Linked DNA regions of Rhinolophus ferrumequinum. The protein of the gene in region 1 interacts with the protein of each later gene in a pairwise test. Links are inferred from orthologs where the notes say so. Each region holds a gene or a part of one and is shown in the gene's direction. Other genes may lie near its edges.

Evidence for each region.
Region 2: the proteins of AGTRAP (region 1) and BPIFA2 interact in binary tests that used the Homo sapiens proteins (3 or more experiments, as listed by UniProt). The two-hybrid records come from large-scale screens. The link is inferred for Rhinolophus ferrumequinum from reciprocal best matches to the Homo sapiens genes AGTRAP and BPIFA2.

The regions. Positions count from the first base shown.
Region 1 is NC_046292.1:7,934,543-7,942,562, forward strand, and holds the start of AGTRAP (type-1 angiotensin II receptor-associated protein), read left to right. Parts: upstream 1-4,656; 5' UTR 4,657-4,785; coding exon 4,786-4,812; intron 4,813-8,020. UniProt on the Homo sapiens protein: Appears to be a negative regulator of type-1 angiotensin II receptor-mediated signaling by regulating receptor internalization as well as mechanism of receptor desensitization such as phosphorylation.
Region 2 is NC_046306.1:21,718,516-21,726,571, reverse strand, and holds the start of BPIFA2 (BPI fold-containing family A member 2), read left to right. Parts: upstream 1-4,991; 5' UTR 4,992-5,114; intron 5,115-5,917; 5' UTR 5,918-5,930; coding exon 5,931-6,087; intron 6,088-7,756; coding exon 7,757-7,901; intron 7,902-8,056. UniProt on the Homo sapiens protein: Has strong antibacterial activity against P.aeruginosa.

The DNA.
Region 1 (8,020 bases):
TTTCCCACACTCACCAAGGGGTCCACAGGGTGTTCTGATGGGTTCTCTGATGCCTGATTTGAGTGCAAGGGTCTCTGGAGGGACAGGGGAGGATCACTAAGTGTTTGGTGAGGGCTTGCCAGGATGGGGCAATAATTTGCATAGGACCCTGATGAGATGGCAAAACAAAAAGGAACATCAGGGATCACTGGCTGCAGTCTATGGCTCAGGGAGAAGGAGTCAAGACGCTTGGTTGGGCCTTTAAAAATCAGCGATGGAGGCTGCTGTAAGTTTGAATTCTATGCCATTGGGACAAACAGTTCCAAATCAGCACCGCCCCCCCCCTTTGTTTTGGCTAGTCACAAAGACAGGTGTCCCCTCTGGAGAAAGGGGGCTCCCACACCTCCCAGCGATGTCCAGGTGCCTCCAGAAAACCCAGGAACTGGGCAGTAGCAGCCCGTCCACCCTGAACGATAGTATGGGCACGGTGACTTTACCAACAAGTCATACTGGCCTCGATACCTTCAGAATCTTGGCATCAACCAGAGCCTGTGCTGAAGAACAGAGGATGAAGTCTGGGAGCCCCGGAGAGCCACCCCGACTCCAGTCCACAGGGTTCTATTCTGTTCTTTCACTTCTGCCCATTTCTGCTGTCTCTGCTCCCAGCAGCTGGCATCAGAGGGAGAAGATCCCGTCCACAGATACAAAGAACAGCACCGACCAACAAAACACCAGGCCTTCCACAACCCTGCCAGAACTTAGGCCAGAAACACAGCCGGTGTGTTTGTGACAAGCTGAGCAGAAATGCTGGAGGATAGGACACCAGATCAAATCTCAGTGACATTCCCTGTGCCACCAAGGGCCACACCCTATCTTCCAGAACCTTCTCTGATGTGCTTTTGTGGACGGCCCTGCATTCTCATAGGCACACGTGCCTTTCAGACAGTGTTTTGGTTCTTTTCTCTGTCGGTTCCAGTTTGATTTACACAGTTGGGAAAGGAAGGGGCCGGGCCACCTAAGAATTGTTGGGTGTCCAGGACTCTGAAGACCAAAGGACAATTGGAAACCATTTCAAAGCCTTTCATATGGGAAGCCTCCTTTGTGCTTCACACAGCCCCGGGGTTGACTATTACTGTCCCCATTTTCTAGATATGCAGAAAAAATTTCACAGACTAAGTGGTGACTAACCCAAAGTCACACAGATGTCAAGGTCAGTGCTGGGGGTCGAGGTTGCTCAAATGCTAAGGCCTGGCTCCCAGGCTTTGCACATAGGAAAGGGGGATGGGTGGAATCTTCTCTCCATCAAAGGGGCCTTTTCCAGCTGCTTCAATCCTGGTATTTATTGTGCGCCAGGAGATGCTGAGAGGCGCTGAAAGATGCTGCGTGTTTTTTCACAGCAGCAGGGCAGCTATTCGCTTCCTGAATGTTTACAAAGTGCCAGGAGCTGTGCCAGGGATGCTATGTAAATGATCCCACGTGATCCCCACAATCACCCTGAGGCTAAATAACTTGCCCAAGATCACTCTGCAAGGAGGAGGCAAGACAGGGATCCAAAACATACCTTTACCTAAAGGACACAGGCAATCATAGGAAAGACATGGCTGTGGCTGCTTCATCAGCCATTTCCATAACCAGTGGCACTTACCAAGTGCCGTCCTCAGCAGAGCCTGGACTATCCGTGGCATCCTGAGGACAAGCAGGGAATTGGGTGGCAGGTCTTCCAGGTGATGGGAGGAAGGGGTGCACACAAATTTGTTCAGTGGATGTACCTCGGTTCATTCCCTGAGCACCCAGCATGCCCCAGGCCAGTGTTGAGGTTCCAAGACCCTCCTAGGATTTGCAGTCTAGGTGGGGGTGGGGCAGACAATAAACAAGTAAACAAGTAAATTGATAGGTCAATACCTTCACATATTGGTAAGTGCTATGAAGAAATTACAATAGGACAGTACAACCAACTTGGAAAACAGTTTGGCAATTTCTTAAAAAGCCAAATATACACCCGTCATATATGGTCCAGCCATTCCACTCCTAGATATTTACCCAAGTAGGTGTTCAATAACTATTCTCTGAATGAATGAATGAATGAATGAATGAACGAATCTATTCTGCATGTCAGATTCTTTGTTGAAGGTACAAAGATAAAACTTGGCCGAGACAGACAGGATTGGTCAGGGACATGAAAACTTTAAACTTGGGGCGGCAGGATGGCTCAGTTGGTTAGAGTGCGAGCTCTCAACAACAAGGTTGCCGGTTCAATTCCTCACATGGGATGGTGGGCTGCGCCCCCTGCAACTAAAGATTGAAAACGGCGACTGGACTTGGAGCTGAGCTGCACCCTCCACAACTAGACTGAAGAACAACGACTTGGAGCTGATGGGCCCTGAAGAAACATACTGTTCTCCAACATTCCCCAATAAAATTTATAAGAGAAAAATTTAAACTTGACTTACAAAAGTATGACCCCAAAGCCTTGTGGAATATGCTTTGTGGGGGTCCATTTGACCTTCCATAGTTACAACTGGGTCACGGCAGGAACTCTGACTCCTTTAAGAATAGTTTTACTTTCTTGTGTTCCCTCCCCACCCCAGCCAACTGGGTCTGTCCCCACTTCCCCAGCTGGTCAGGATGAATACAGCTCTCAACCACAAGGTTGCCGGTTCGACTCCTCGACTCCCACAAGGGATGGTGGGCTGTGCCCCCTGCAACTAACAACGGCAACTGGACCTGGAGCTGAGCTGCGCCCTCCACAACTAAGACTGAAAGGACAACAACTTGACTTGGAAAAAGACCTGGAAGTCCATGCTGTTCCCCAATAAAGTCCTGTTCCCCTTCCCCAATAAAATCTTTTTTAAAAAAATACCCACCACTTATTGAGGAATTACTCTTTTCTATGTACTCTACTGACAACAATAATTAACACTAATACACTAATAATTATTAATAAAAGTACAGCCAATCCTGACTAAGTGCTTACTGTCTGCCAGACACTGTCCTAAATGTTTTTCATGTATTAATAAATCCTAACAACGCTTTGGAGGAAGCCACTGTTATTATCCTCATTTTACAGATGAGAAAACTGAAGCACCGAGAGGCAAAGTGACTTACCCAAGTTCAACCAGTAAGTGGACAAAGCCAGGACTCAAACTCTGTTGCTCTGTTCTAGCGCAGTTCCCCTGTGCTTTAAATCCCCAAAAATCAAGCTAAATGAGCTGTACCCATTGGGCTGGTCTCTAAAGATCACCAGCTCTCAGTTACAATGGCAGATGCTATGCTGCTCTACCCCTGGGCTGGAGGGCTTTGTCTCTGAATGGGGCATTAAATTAGGTCAGTGGGTACTGCAGGTCCTGCAGTCTTTCCTTTGTGTTGGAGAGAGTATATGTCTTGATATGATCTCAGGACCCACCCAGGCAGTTTCGCAGGTTCCCACATGGTCTCTCCTGTCCTGGAGACACGAACAAGTTGTCAGACAGACCGTAGGGGACCCTCTAAATAAAGTTTTCTCTGGTCATGGGTGAAGGATGGGGTACAGGGGAGGATGGCGGTAGTGGGGATTTACATTCCTGTTGGGAGGTGGTCAACAGCCTTTGAGACGGCAGGTGAGACAGCTCTCTCTTTCCTCAATTTCTTCCATTCTTGGTTAAGAGGCAAACAGGTGTCTTGACAGACTCTTTCTTCACTGGTCTGCTTTTTTCTGGAAACAGGTGTGTCCTACAGGTTTTCTGCTGGTCTTCCAGATGGATTTTTCTACAGCTTTTAGTTTGTTCATTCAAGTGGCCCCTTGTGTGTTGATAACAACAATATTTTCTATGTACTGCTCATCGAGTAAGTGCCAGGCACTTTTCTAGGCACTTTCCTTTGACAAAAACTCTATCCTTGACCAAACTTTAGTTAGGCTCATGAGGCTTCTCCTCAAACTCGGCCTCAGCCTGGCCTCGGTGTGCAACCTGTTCTTGCTGGGCCTGCATAGCCCAGTTTTAGCAAGAATCCCCCTGCCCTGGATAACTGAACACCCTCCACATCTGATCAAGTTCCTCACCTGCCCTCCCTCACCTTTTGATGTCTACGTCCTTGGCCTGCCTTTAGCAAGAATCTTGTTAGGTTGGTTTAGCAAGAATCCCCCCAGCCTTTAGTGTCTCCTCTTAGTAATTTTCCATCTACTGAGCCCTCACTCTGCTGCTTCGCTATAAAACCCCACTTGTCCTTGCTGTTCATAGTTAAGCTTGATTTTTCTCCCCTCCTGCAACATCCCTATTGCAATAGTGTTGGGTGAAGTCTTCCCTACCATTTTAACAAATGTCAGAATAAATTTTTCTTTAACAAAATGGATTCGTTCATTTATCCTCACAAGGGTCCTCTGAGGTAGGTACCGTCAATGTCTCTAACACTGGAAGGTCGAGAGGAGAGAGGATTTCCTGAAGGATGAGATAGCAGCTGTTGCCACATCCTCACTTTGCACCTGGACATACCCCCAAGTTCTCCTGGCTGCAGGTGGTCCCGTCAGTCCACCTGCTGGGATATTAACCAGGCAAGATATTGCTCCCTTTGCGGCAAAAGTCCTGATGTTCTCCAGCCGCCCCCGGGAACTCCCTGAGCAACGTGTGGACGGAGCTGGGAGCCAGCGGGAAGCGGGTGCTGGCCGACGCCGTCCCCTGGCAAACGGGCAGTGGTCATGTGACCCGAGTCACGTGGCCGGGAGCTGAGCTGGGGTTAGAGCCCAGGCAGCAGGGCTGGCTGGTGCTGGCAAGTTTGCTTCCCGAGTTCCAAGACCCCGCGGCTGTCGCACAGGTGCCTTCCGCCTAGGTCGGGATGGAGCTGCCAGCCGTGAACCTGAAGGTGGCGACGGGCGGGGCGGGGGTGGCCACGCCGCAGGCGGGCGGGCGCGGGGCGGGTCTCCGGGAGTGTGGGGGCCGTTTGCGCTTTTAAAGTAGGATTTTGGAGGTGAGAAGGCCGGGAGTTTGGGAAAGAAAAGGCGTAAGGAGAAAGAAAAGATACAGACCCCTGGTGAGAAGGAGGCGGGCAGACAAACCAAGGCCGGGAGAGAGATCCAGGAAAAGGCCAGGAGGGAAAACCGAGGGAAAGGGCCGCCCCCTCCGGCAGTCGGATCCCTGCCACTGGGAGCACCCGGCCCTGGAGGATTGCTGTGGCCTACGCCACCAGAATTCCCCTGGGGAAAGAGGAAGGCGCGGGGGAGGGACTAAGACCCGGAGTGGGGCTTGGAGGCGGACACCTCCCCTCCACCTAGAGGGAGAGAGGGAGGGCGGAGGAGGGAGACGGAGAGAGGTGTTAGACCTTTCACCTGGCCTCCCATAACTTCAAGGTAGCCTCCTTTGTTTGCTAAATCCGGTTAAGAAAAGTAGATGTGCCCGGACTGGTGGTTTACAAAATGTATCAACCCTGCGTCCTTATTTCCCAAGAAACACGAACTCCAGTAGAAGTTGCTTAACGCCAGAAAACCACAACTTGGTGCACTTAGTAAAACACTGCAGGGCTTCCTGGGATGTCTTCATTTCCTGAGCGGCTCTCCTGAGCTCCTCAGGATGCCACTGGCGGAGGTTCATTTTCTCCCGCCACACCCCAGCCCGCTGTGCTTCTTGGCTGGGTTTGCGACAGAGGGGCTGTGGCCTTTTTAGCTTTGGTCAGGAGGGGGTGAACCTTCCGCCAAACCTGCCATTTTGGGTCTCGGTGCAGTCTCCTTTGAGACTGGATCCAGGAATGCCCTTTTACTCACTGGTGACAAAGCATTTAGCAGCCATGGTGTCCGGTACTAAAGGAACCCAAAAGATAGATGACTACAAAACAGCACATCATTCATATTTGGGTTATGAGACCTGCTCTGTGCTATGACTTCATACAGGCAGACTTCCAGTAATCACGCTCGCTGGGACCAACCTCCCTGAAGCTTCTAGTCAACAGCTGCGTGGAGAGATGTCTGGAGCAAGAGAATGGGCTTGGGTTGAAGGTTTATCTGGGAAGAAATTGCCATGAGGGAAACATCCATACTCACTCTGTTCCAGGCAGTGTGGGGTTAATGCCAACTGCCTTTTCTCTAGCGATTTGCCTAAAACAATGCTAAGAGAAAATCAGGTGAAGGACAAAGCTGCAGGAGTTGAGAAGGAAGAAAACTCTCATTCCTGGGGCATCTGTGGTGTGCCAGGTTATTTGTTTAATCACAACAGCCTTCCGGGAAAGCTGATATTGTCATCTTTTACGGATGAGCAAACCTTGGCTCAGATCAGATAAATAATTTGCCAAAGTCCCACAGGGATTAAGTGGCAGAGTCAGGATTTGAACCCACCAGGGTCAGACTTCAAAGCCAGCCTGAGACCTTGCCTGGTCACCAGTTAGGGCTGACTTCTGCCTTGATAGTTTATGTCCATCAGGGGGACTTAAGTCTGTTTGGGGCTTTTTTGCAGCAACTTATTGGCCTGACAGACCAAGCACTACCATGGGTGTGAGCTGTGCTGGCTTTCGGTGCCCAGAATGAAACTCTGGTCCTTCCCTTGATTTGGGAAAAAAGACCCTCTGTCTCTATATAGGTCTTCCGCTGTTACTAGTCAGAGACAAGTAAGTGTCAGGAGGCCCTGAGGGACCAGGGTTGCCAGGTAACATATAGGATATCCAGTTGAATTTGAATTTCAGATCAGCAATGAATAATTTTTTATCATACGTATATTCCAGGCAATATTTGGGACATACTAACAAATTATGCATTATCTGAAATTTGAAATGAAGTGTGCCGTATTGTTAAATCTGGCCTTCCTATGGAGGGTAGCTGTTGACCCCGGGTTCACAGGCACTTTCGTGGGTTGTTCCGAGATCAGGGCCCCGAGGGGGCTGGGGAAATGCAGCCCGTGGGCCTGCCCTCCCTCCCCACTCCCTTATTTCATACATTCTTTGGGAATTGGCCGAATGCCAGCTTGTGCCCAGCCAGAGTGGGCAGTGGTACCCGGTTAAAAGAAATAGCTGCTCTAGGCCCTTTGCACAAAAGGTAGTCCCTAGCTGAGCCCCATCCCTGAGGCAAGTCTTGAGCCAGAGGGATGACACTGTGACAAGCTTAGAAAGGACTAGACTTGGGTTCATGACGTCTTGTGGAAAGAGGCCCTTGTGGGAAGAGGGTGGGGGTGGGGCGGGTAGTGGAGCATTTGGGTTGAGAACTCAGGAAGCTGACTTCCTATGGTAAGGAGGACAGCTTCGTATCAAGGGCTGCTTACCTGGCAGGCACTGTGTTGAGTATTCACATACCTCTCCACTTCCCTGTACCACTAGATCCGCACAACCCTACGAAACAGGCATATTGTCCCTACTTTACGGAAGAGCAAGCTGCAGTTCTGAGAAGTCAAGTAACTTGCACAAGGTCACACAGCTTCTGCAGCATGGAGCCAGGATCAGCTATCTGGCTGCAGCGCTCATGCAGTTAACCACTGCCTGACTCCGCCTCCCCTCTAGGGCAGCCCTGATTTGTGTCCCTCAGCCCTAGCCACCCTCTGGGATCTCACCACCTCAGATAACAAGTCATGGAGTGTTTGCACGGGACTGGTAGGACTATATTTCATATGTCGACCTGTGTGTTGATCTGAGAGGTCAGCGCACCACCTGTGGGGAAATCCCCCCCCACCCCCACTCTCGCATCCCTCATGGGCTTCTGGTGGCAAAGTAGTCTAAGTCCACAGGACCCCTTGGTTTCCCCTTAGCCTTCCCTTCTCCAGGTTAAACGCCATTTCCATCCGCTTTTCCAAACCCTGACAGTATAACATGGATAGAGCACAGGCCTTGGGGCCAGACATTCAAGGCTGGGCTTTGCTACTTATTCACCGTGACTTTGAGCAGGTTTCTTAACCTGTCAGTATCAGTGTCCTCACTGTAAAAGAGGACAAAAATAAACCCTATCTTCTAGGGTGATAAGAGGAGGAGCTAGTGGTCCAGGAGGTGGTGTAGCTTTACATTTTTACTGGCATAAAACCTCAGACCAGATAGACCATCTGAGATCTGCACCTGGCCTCTCTTATTTGTCGGTGTTACAGTGTGGGCCAGTTTACCCTCT
Region 2 (8,056 bases), on another chromosome or scaffold:
ACTCATGGCAGACATCACTAATCAATCGTTCCCTCCAAGCCCAGGAGCATTCTCCATCCAGTCCCTGCAATCAATCACAGTCATGCATGAGATCACAGTTTTCAGACTTCCCTAACTTGGCCCAGGAGGGAAACTGAAGCTCAGGAAATGTGCCTACTAAAGGTCACACATACACCAGCAGCTAATAGAGTCAAAATTGGTGGACACTGGTATCCCGGAGGCCTGACCCATTTTAGCTCATCAGGTCCTCATTTCACACAAAAATGAGAAGTGTAGTTCCTGTTAACTGAACACTAATCATATTGGATGCCTGTCTCATTTAATTTTGACATATAGATGGGAAAATTGTGGTGGAGAGAAGTGAAGTGACCAGAAACCAACAATAATTATAAGATCATCATTGTTGTTAACGTGTATTGAGGGCTTACCACGTGCTAGCCTTTCCACAAGCATTATCACACCTCATCTTCACAACACTCCTGGGAAGTAAGTCCTGTTGCTCTTCCCATTTCACAGATAAGGAACCTGAGGTTCAGCGAGATGACACCCCTCATCCAGTCATACAGCCAACAACAGCGAGAACGAAGGATTCGAACCCAACCCGAGAGCCAGGCTCTGACCACCCCCCTCAGATCCCTTTGGGCACCCTTTTGGTTTCCATTTTGCCACTGGAATCCAGGCACAGGGGTGTTGACTCCATTTTACAGATGGGGCAACTGAGGCCTGGGGCCAACACCAGGTCTAAAATCACCACATAACACTCAGCCCCTGGGCTGTGTTCCTGGGGTGGGAAAAACTCTCTTCACAAGATTTCAGCATAGCCCTCAGCTCTGCGCCTGACACCTGGAGGAAGAAGGGCCTCAGACACTGTGGAACTGGGTGCCATGTAGCCAGGGAAGAGTCTTGATGACTGGTCCAATACCACCAAGTAAGACTACTGAACTGGGTTCTCCAGGTCCTAGCCCTGACTTGGGGAGCCACGCTTTTGCCTTCTTCCTGCTCTGTGCTCTAATAGTGGAAACATGGTCAGTGTGAGGAAAGCTAGTTCCCGAGCCACCAGTCCTACCACACCCTTTGCCCTGCCCACGTTTGTATGAAGGACAGGCCCACCTGGTCCTTGCTGAGTCTCAGGTGGGTGAGCAGAGGAGACAGGCACAGGATGTTCCTGAGCTCTCTGCCAGTGTGCCTGAATGCCAAGTGGGCACCTACCTGAGTTTCCTGTGGCCTGTTTCAGGTTGACTTGGGCCCAATGCACCAGGCGTTACAACCAACTCAAACAGCAGAGGCCGGGAGATAAACAGGATATTGAAGCCCAAGGACTTTCCTGTCTTGCCAGCTGGCCTCAGTGTGACATGGGGGGAAGGGCCATGGAATCAAATGTCCAGTTTCTGTCCTTGTGAGGCCTGGGCAAACCACCTCTCCTTTCTGAATCTCAGTTTCCTCAAGTGGAAAATGGGGCTCAAAACCTCCTCACAGGTTGTCTGTCGTGAAGACTGATGGCGAAAGTACCTAAAGCACCAGGCCCTACCAGGCACCTTCTGGGTTCCGGGCACTGGGGGCAGAAGAATGTGACTCGCTGCTGCCCCCAGAAGGCCATGAGCTGGAATAGCAGTTCTCAATCTGCCAGGCTGAAGATTTTTATTTTTTTCCTTCCCAGCTCTGCTCTTTCCTTTCTGCATGACCTTGAGCAAGTTGTCCTTCCCTTCTGAGCCTCAAGCTCCTCATCCAAAATACAGGGACAGTAACATCCCCTGCAAGGTTATGAGGGGATGAAACCAGGTGAAGTAGGAAAAACACCTGGTACACAGCAGGTACCAAATAAATGGCAGTTGTTATTATTAATAGTGTGCTCTTATGGGTCAGTCAGGCTACACTGTAAAGTGCTGTGCACATGGGCTGCAGGGTTATGAGGATCATGTCTAGGCTGAGCTGGGGCTCCAGATGTTGGGATGGGGGTCACAGCTCATAGAACTCTGGGCAGAAGGCACCTTTGAGTCATCTAGTCCAGTCATTCCCATTTCTGGTCAACAACCCCCAGGGGGCAACCCCCAGGGGACACAGGCCACTTTTGGGCTCCCAGAGCCTCTGACCCAAATTATTTAGGGTTGGAGTGCAAGCATCTGTATTTTAAACAAGTTTCCTAGGTAATTCTGTTCAATCTTTTTTTTTTTTTTTTAAGTCCAGGGTAGAAAATTCCAACAAAACTAAAAGTTATGCAATAAAAGAGAAAAACAAGAGGGGTTGAAGGTCACTGTGTGGCCTTAGATGAGCCTTTCTCCTTCTCTGAGCTATAGGTTCCCCAAACCTCCCAGCAAGGAGGTTAAATTAATAAACTCTAAGCTCTCCTCTGGCTTTGGTGTCTGCGATGTTTCCAGTGTCGTGTACGAACTTCGAGCAGCCGTCAGAAGGGAGGTGACTGATGTGAGTCTACAAATGGGTGCGTCAGGACTGCTGTGGGTTTCGGTGACAGGAATCCAATCCACAGGGGCTTAAGCAACAATGAAAAAAGAGGGAGGGAGAAATGTATTAGAAGTGAAAAGTCTGGGGTTACATGACTTTGGGCAAAGCTATATCCAGGCACTTGAATGATATATTTTCTCATTTCTTTAGTATTTGCTTCATTCTCCAATGGGCTTTGCCAGATAATTGTATCTAAAGTATTTAAGGGGAAAAACAGACCCAGGCAATCTGGGAAGCCCCAAATCCGCCTTTGTGGGTAGGGAGCCCTTCCATTCAGAACAGTGGTAACGTGTCTCCATGATTCTGTAAAAAGTTCTCCTCGTTGTTGGCAGGGAGATGTTGTCTATGAGTCTAGCTTTACTGCCTTGGTCACCTGCATGCATGGGCACACATGTGTGTGGACATGCACATATACATATGTGTCAGTATGTATGTGCTTGTTCAAGAATTCCACACACACTATGAGGAGTGGGATCCAGAGGACCTCAGGAAGAAGGGGGCAAGGTTTCTCCCCACTTTGGGAGCTTTGCCTAGTGTAGACCAGACTTGGGGGTCACCCAAATGCTTTAGCAGACGGGGGCCCCTGAGGGTGTGGAAAAGTCCTGTCTTCATGTGAGCTGGGGACAGTGAAGCTGCAGAGAGGTGGGTGACACTGAGAATGGCGACTTAGATAGCAGGACTTTTGAGCTGCGTGTGAGAGGATAGGTTCCTCTTTCCCAGACCCATGGCCAGGTAATGAGAACTTCTAATTAGTGTTACCTCAAGCTTGGCTGTGTGAGGCAGGCAGCCAGTGCCAGTGGGAGATGCTGGCTTTGTTCGGGGCGTGGTCCGTGCTGAGAGACAGCACCCAGCACTCTGGGGCTCCAGGGGGCCACAGCATGTCGAAATTGGGGTCTTGGGAGGTTGGGAGGGTGAGAAAAGGAAAGATATAGGAAGCCTAAGGGAAAGATATCCATCTGGACTCAGGTAGAAAGAAAACCTGAGAAGAAGAATCATAAAAATGTGCCACAGTGGTCTTTGAACAATAGACCAAGACAATTTAGAATCATAGCTCATAGTCACGTCAAGTCCCACAGGAGCTTAGCAGTTATCTATTTCAATTTCTGAGCATATCTGGTGATGGGGACCTCACCACCTTCCCAAGTAGTGACTGGTTTTATAGGATGCCTTAGAGAGAGGTTTGGAACATTCTAGAGACAGATCAGAGTCTTTGAAGCCTACATATGAGGAAAGCCTCAGAGCACAGAGTGGTAACAATTTGCTGAGGGCGGAGAACAAGTTTTTAAAAAATCAAATTGTGGGGGTGACTGGTTAGCTCAGTTGGTTAGAGTGCAGTGCTCTTAACAAAAATGTTGCCGTTTCGATCCCCAATGGGCCACTGTGAGCTGCGCCCTCCACAACTAGATTGAAACAACTACTTGACTTGGAGCTCATGGGTCCTGGAAAAACACACTTAAAATCAATTTTTAAAAAGTTTTAAAAAAATCAAATTGTGTTGACTTGCTATGAAAGAAGCCATCGAGGAGCTGAAATCAGGGATAACAGGGAGGGGCCACCTCAGGTCAGCAGTCAGGGAGGTTCTGAAGAGGTGACAACAAGAGTTAGGGACAGTTGGGGAGGAAAGTCCTGGGCAGAGAGAACGGCTTATGCAAAGGCCCAAAGCAGGAAAGAGGTCAGAATCTTCTGGAATAGAAGAAAGACAGGTAGGGGCCCGGAGGAAGAAGTTGGAGATGAGTTTGGAGAGGCAGTGAGCAGATGATACAGGCTCCTACAGGGCATGGTAGGACTTCGGGTTTAAGCTGAATGACACACCTCTAGCTGCTGTGTTGAGCAGAGTGGATAGGGCAAGTGTGCAGACGGACACCAGGGATAAGGCTGTGGTGTGTGTCTCCTGACACTGGCTGTGCAGCCTCAGGCAGGGTGCTTAACCTTTCTGGGCCTCATTGCTGCCCACATATGGAGGTAAAGTGGAGGCAGATTTTGTTCACTCTCAGGAGGAACTCTACCAACTCGATGGAATAGGCAGGCTTAAGGAGTAGTGAGCTCCCCATCATTGCAAACATTCAAATTGAGGCTGGCTCCACTGTGAGAGATGCTATAGAAAGCACACAGACACCGAGAAGGATGGGGCAGAATGACCTTTCTGCTTGCTGACCGTGACTCTCTGTGGGTCACAGTTCTGGTCCGATCTCTGTCCATGTCTTGCTGGGTGACCTCAAGCTGGTTGCTTCCCCTCTCTGAGCCTCAGTTTCCAAATGGTGATAGAATTAAGATGGATGATCACAATAGGTTCTCACTAACAATTCTCTAATTTGTCCACTCTTAGTCTTCACCCCAACCCTCACCCGCAATGGCCACCAATTTGGCAGATGGAGGCTCCATGAGAATCCGGTCTTAGTCTTGGCAGAAAGTCCTCCCCATATCCATCCATTCAATTCAAGCATCCTAGGTGACCTTTGGATGGAAGTCTCTCTGCTCACCCTGAACAGGGGTTATTTTCTTTGGCCTCTCCTTGGATGGCCCCAGAACCAGGGCTTGCTTCCATGGGCAATCTCCCATCCTGTAGCCACCAATATAAGGGCCACCACCACCTAGAAGAATCCCAGGAGACCGTGCAGAAGAACAAGTGTTCGTGAGCATCCTCCTCCAAACCTGTGAGTGATGGGCTTCCCCCTGATGGTACCTTACAACGTGGTCTTCTGAAGGCTTTGAGGGCAAGAGGCAGAGGGATAGGGCTGCTTGGATTGCTAATATTTTGAATATAGAAAATTAAGAGATAGATACAGATTATATTCAGAGAAGTGTCAAACTAATGGGCAATGCAGGGTCATGATATGGTACTCGTTTATTTGTTCATACTTTTATTCAGCAAATAGTGATTTGTTGTACTGTATTAGGTGCAGGCTTTTTACGAGGGGCTGGGGATTCAACAGTGAAATAACTCATAGTTCCTCCTCTAAGGAGTTCACAGCCTAATGGAAAAGGTAGACAGGTCATCAGGTAATTGGTATGCAGGACTCTGATCCGAGAACAAAAGCAGAAAAGTGGTGGGATGGAGCCCCCTACCCTAAGCTCTGAGGAGGGGTCTAGAATGGGCTTCATAGAGTGTGTGATGTCTTACTAAAGCCAGAGAGTCAATAAGAAGTAATTTAGGTAAAAAATGCAAAGAAAAAGACAGATGTTTCAGGCAAAGAAGCCAGCATGTGGAAAGGACCTTTGTGTAAAGAGCATGGGCTTGTAGTCAAGTGGGACTTTTCCAATCGCAGCTCCTCCACTCACTGGCTGTGTGTCTCTGGGCAAGTTTCTCTAGCTTTCTTACCTGGCCTGCCCATCTGTAAAACAGGAGACAATGACATCTGTCTTAAAGGAATGTTAAGTGTAAGAGTGGTAAGTGCTCATTGAAGATTCCTTTTCCCTCCGGGTAATTTTCACTCCTGTTTCTCCCATGAATGTCCAGGTGTCAGGACAAGATGTTTCAGCTTTGGAAATTTGTTCTTTTGTGCGGCCTGCTCACGGGGACCTCGGGGTCTGTTCTAGAGGATCTTGGCAACAAACTGGATGATATTGTGAGCCATGTGAGACCTTCTCTCGATAAAGGACTTGAGACCATTGACAAAACACTGGACGGTGAGTCAACAAGGGTGATGATAGGTGTCACCCAGAAGCCGGCCTTCTAGATACTATGCCTGCATTACCAGGGGCTGCCCTGTATGGGTGATTTCCTGGGAAAGGTGGTTAGTTATTCAGTTCCTGGCTGATTTACTTATTATTTTTCTATAAACAATGTTTAAATAAATATCCTCTTACATATTATATCATGGTAAACTTTTTCCAATATATGCATAGGATAAATTCCTAAAAGTGAGATTTCAAAAGTTGGAAAGGCACGCACATTTTAAATTATAGTAGATGCTGACAAAGGATCCCTTAAATTATCATTTTCTTCAACAATCTATGACAGTACTTTTCTTCCTACTCCCTTGACACTGGTATGGACATTTTAAGGGTTTTGCCAGTCTCATAGATGAAAGATCGTAATTCATTTCACTTTACATTTCTCTATGGAAGAATCCACTCATTTAAAAAATATTTTTTAGCTTTTCACATATTTTAACAAACATTTTGTTCATATTCTTAGCATATTATCCTGTCCGGTTGTTTAATATTTTTTTTTTATTGATTTGTTTTAACTAATGGGAAATTAACTCTACCTAGACTAGGTAACTGTATACCTACTTTTATATTTAATTGTATCTCCTTTTTATTCTGATTTCTTAAAATAACTTTGTTTTCTTTTCATTTTCTGGAAATACTAACAGCACATTGACAAGCATCCTTTATAGTAACTTCTGTAAGTGACTGTCTTTCAAATCTTGTCAGGGCTCAGTCAACCTTCAAAGATACAGAAGGGACCCACTCTCTCATTTTCACTGCTGAGAAAACTGAGCTCAGAAACAGAAGTGTCTGGGTCACGGTCACCTAGTGAGTTATAGGACCAGACATAGTTTTATTTAAATTGGCATTTTCTATTTGTTTCGTTATGACTAGGTAGATATTGTCCATTGCAGAGCCAAGTTGCAGTACTATGATTACGTATCTTTTCTTGTATGGTCTTTTGTTTTTCCTCGAGTTAGTAATTGCCTCATTGTTTCTCACTTGAATTATTTTACACACATATCATTAACTCTTTTCATATGCACCATTTTACATCTGCCATGTCATTTATTCTATCTACTCCCTCTTTTCTCTGGAGACCTCCCATTAAGACACTATGTCCTCCCGCTCCTGTATGAATTATTGCTCTCTGGGCCTGTTGCAAAGCATTTATCCTGGGACTCCCACTTTTATGAGTTAGAGCCATATTTTTTCCTTGATTCTAGATTTTCTGTATTTTAGTTTACTCTCCCATTTCATTTGACTTAGTTTTTCAAACTAGAGTGGACATCTCATTTAAAGCAATAGTTCCTCAAGTCACTACTAGAATCTGGTGTACAATCATTATCAATTTCCTGGTCAATTGATTCATTACTTTGTTGATGAATAATGAGTATATGTCAATATGAAGGCAGCATGGAAGGAACAGGGGTTCCATAGCTGTGTGACTTCAGGCACATTTCTTAAACTTCTCATTCTTTATTTCCTCATGTGTAAAATGTAGATAATATCAATACCTACCTCATCAAGTTGTTATGAAGATTAAATGAAATAGCATAGGCAAATAGTCTTATCTAGTACCTGGCGCATAGTAACTGCTTCATAAGTGGTGCCTAATGCTAAATAGCAATTGTTTTTTCAGCTGCCCTTGGGAAACTAAAGGTCGAGTTGTCCGAGCTTCAGGAATCCAAGCTTTGGCAACTGGCCAAGCAGAAGTTCCAGGAAGTTGAAAAAACAGTGAACGATGCCATTTCTAATATCATTTCATCTAAGTACAAGTCTTTGGGGTGAGTTGGTGCTTCGTGGTGGAGATCTTTGCTCCTAGAAAATGGAACACACATCTTTGGTGGGGATATGTAAGTTTAAGATTAAAGACAAAAAGGTGACAAACCTTGTTTTTCCTCCAGAGCTAAGGTTGGTCTAAGGCCACGTCCACCAGAAC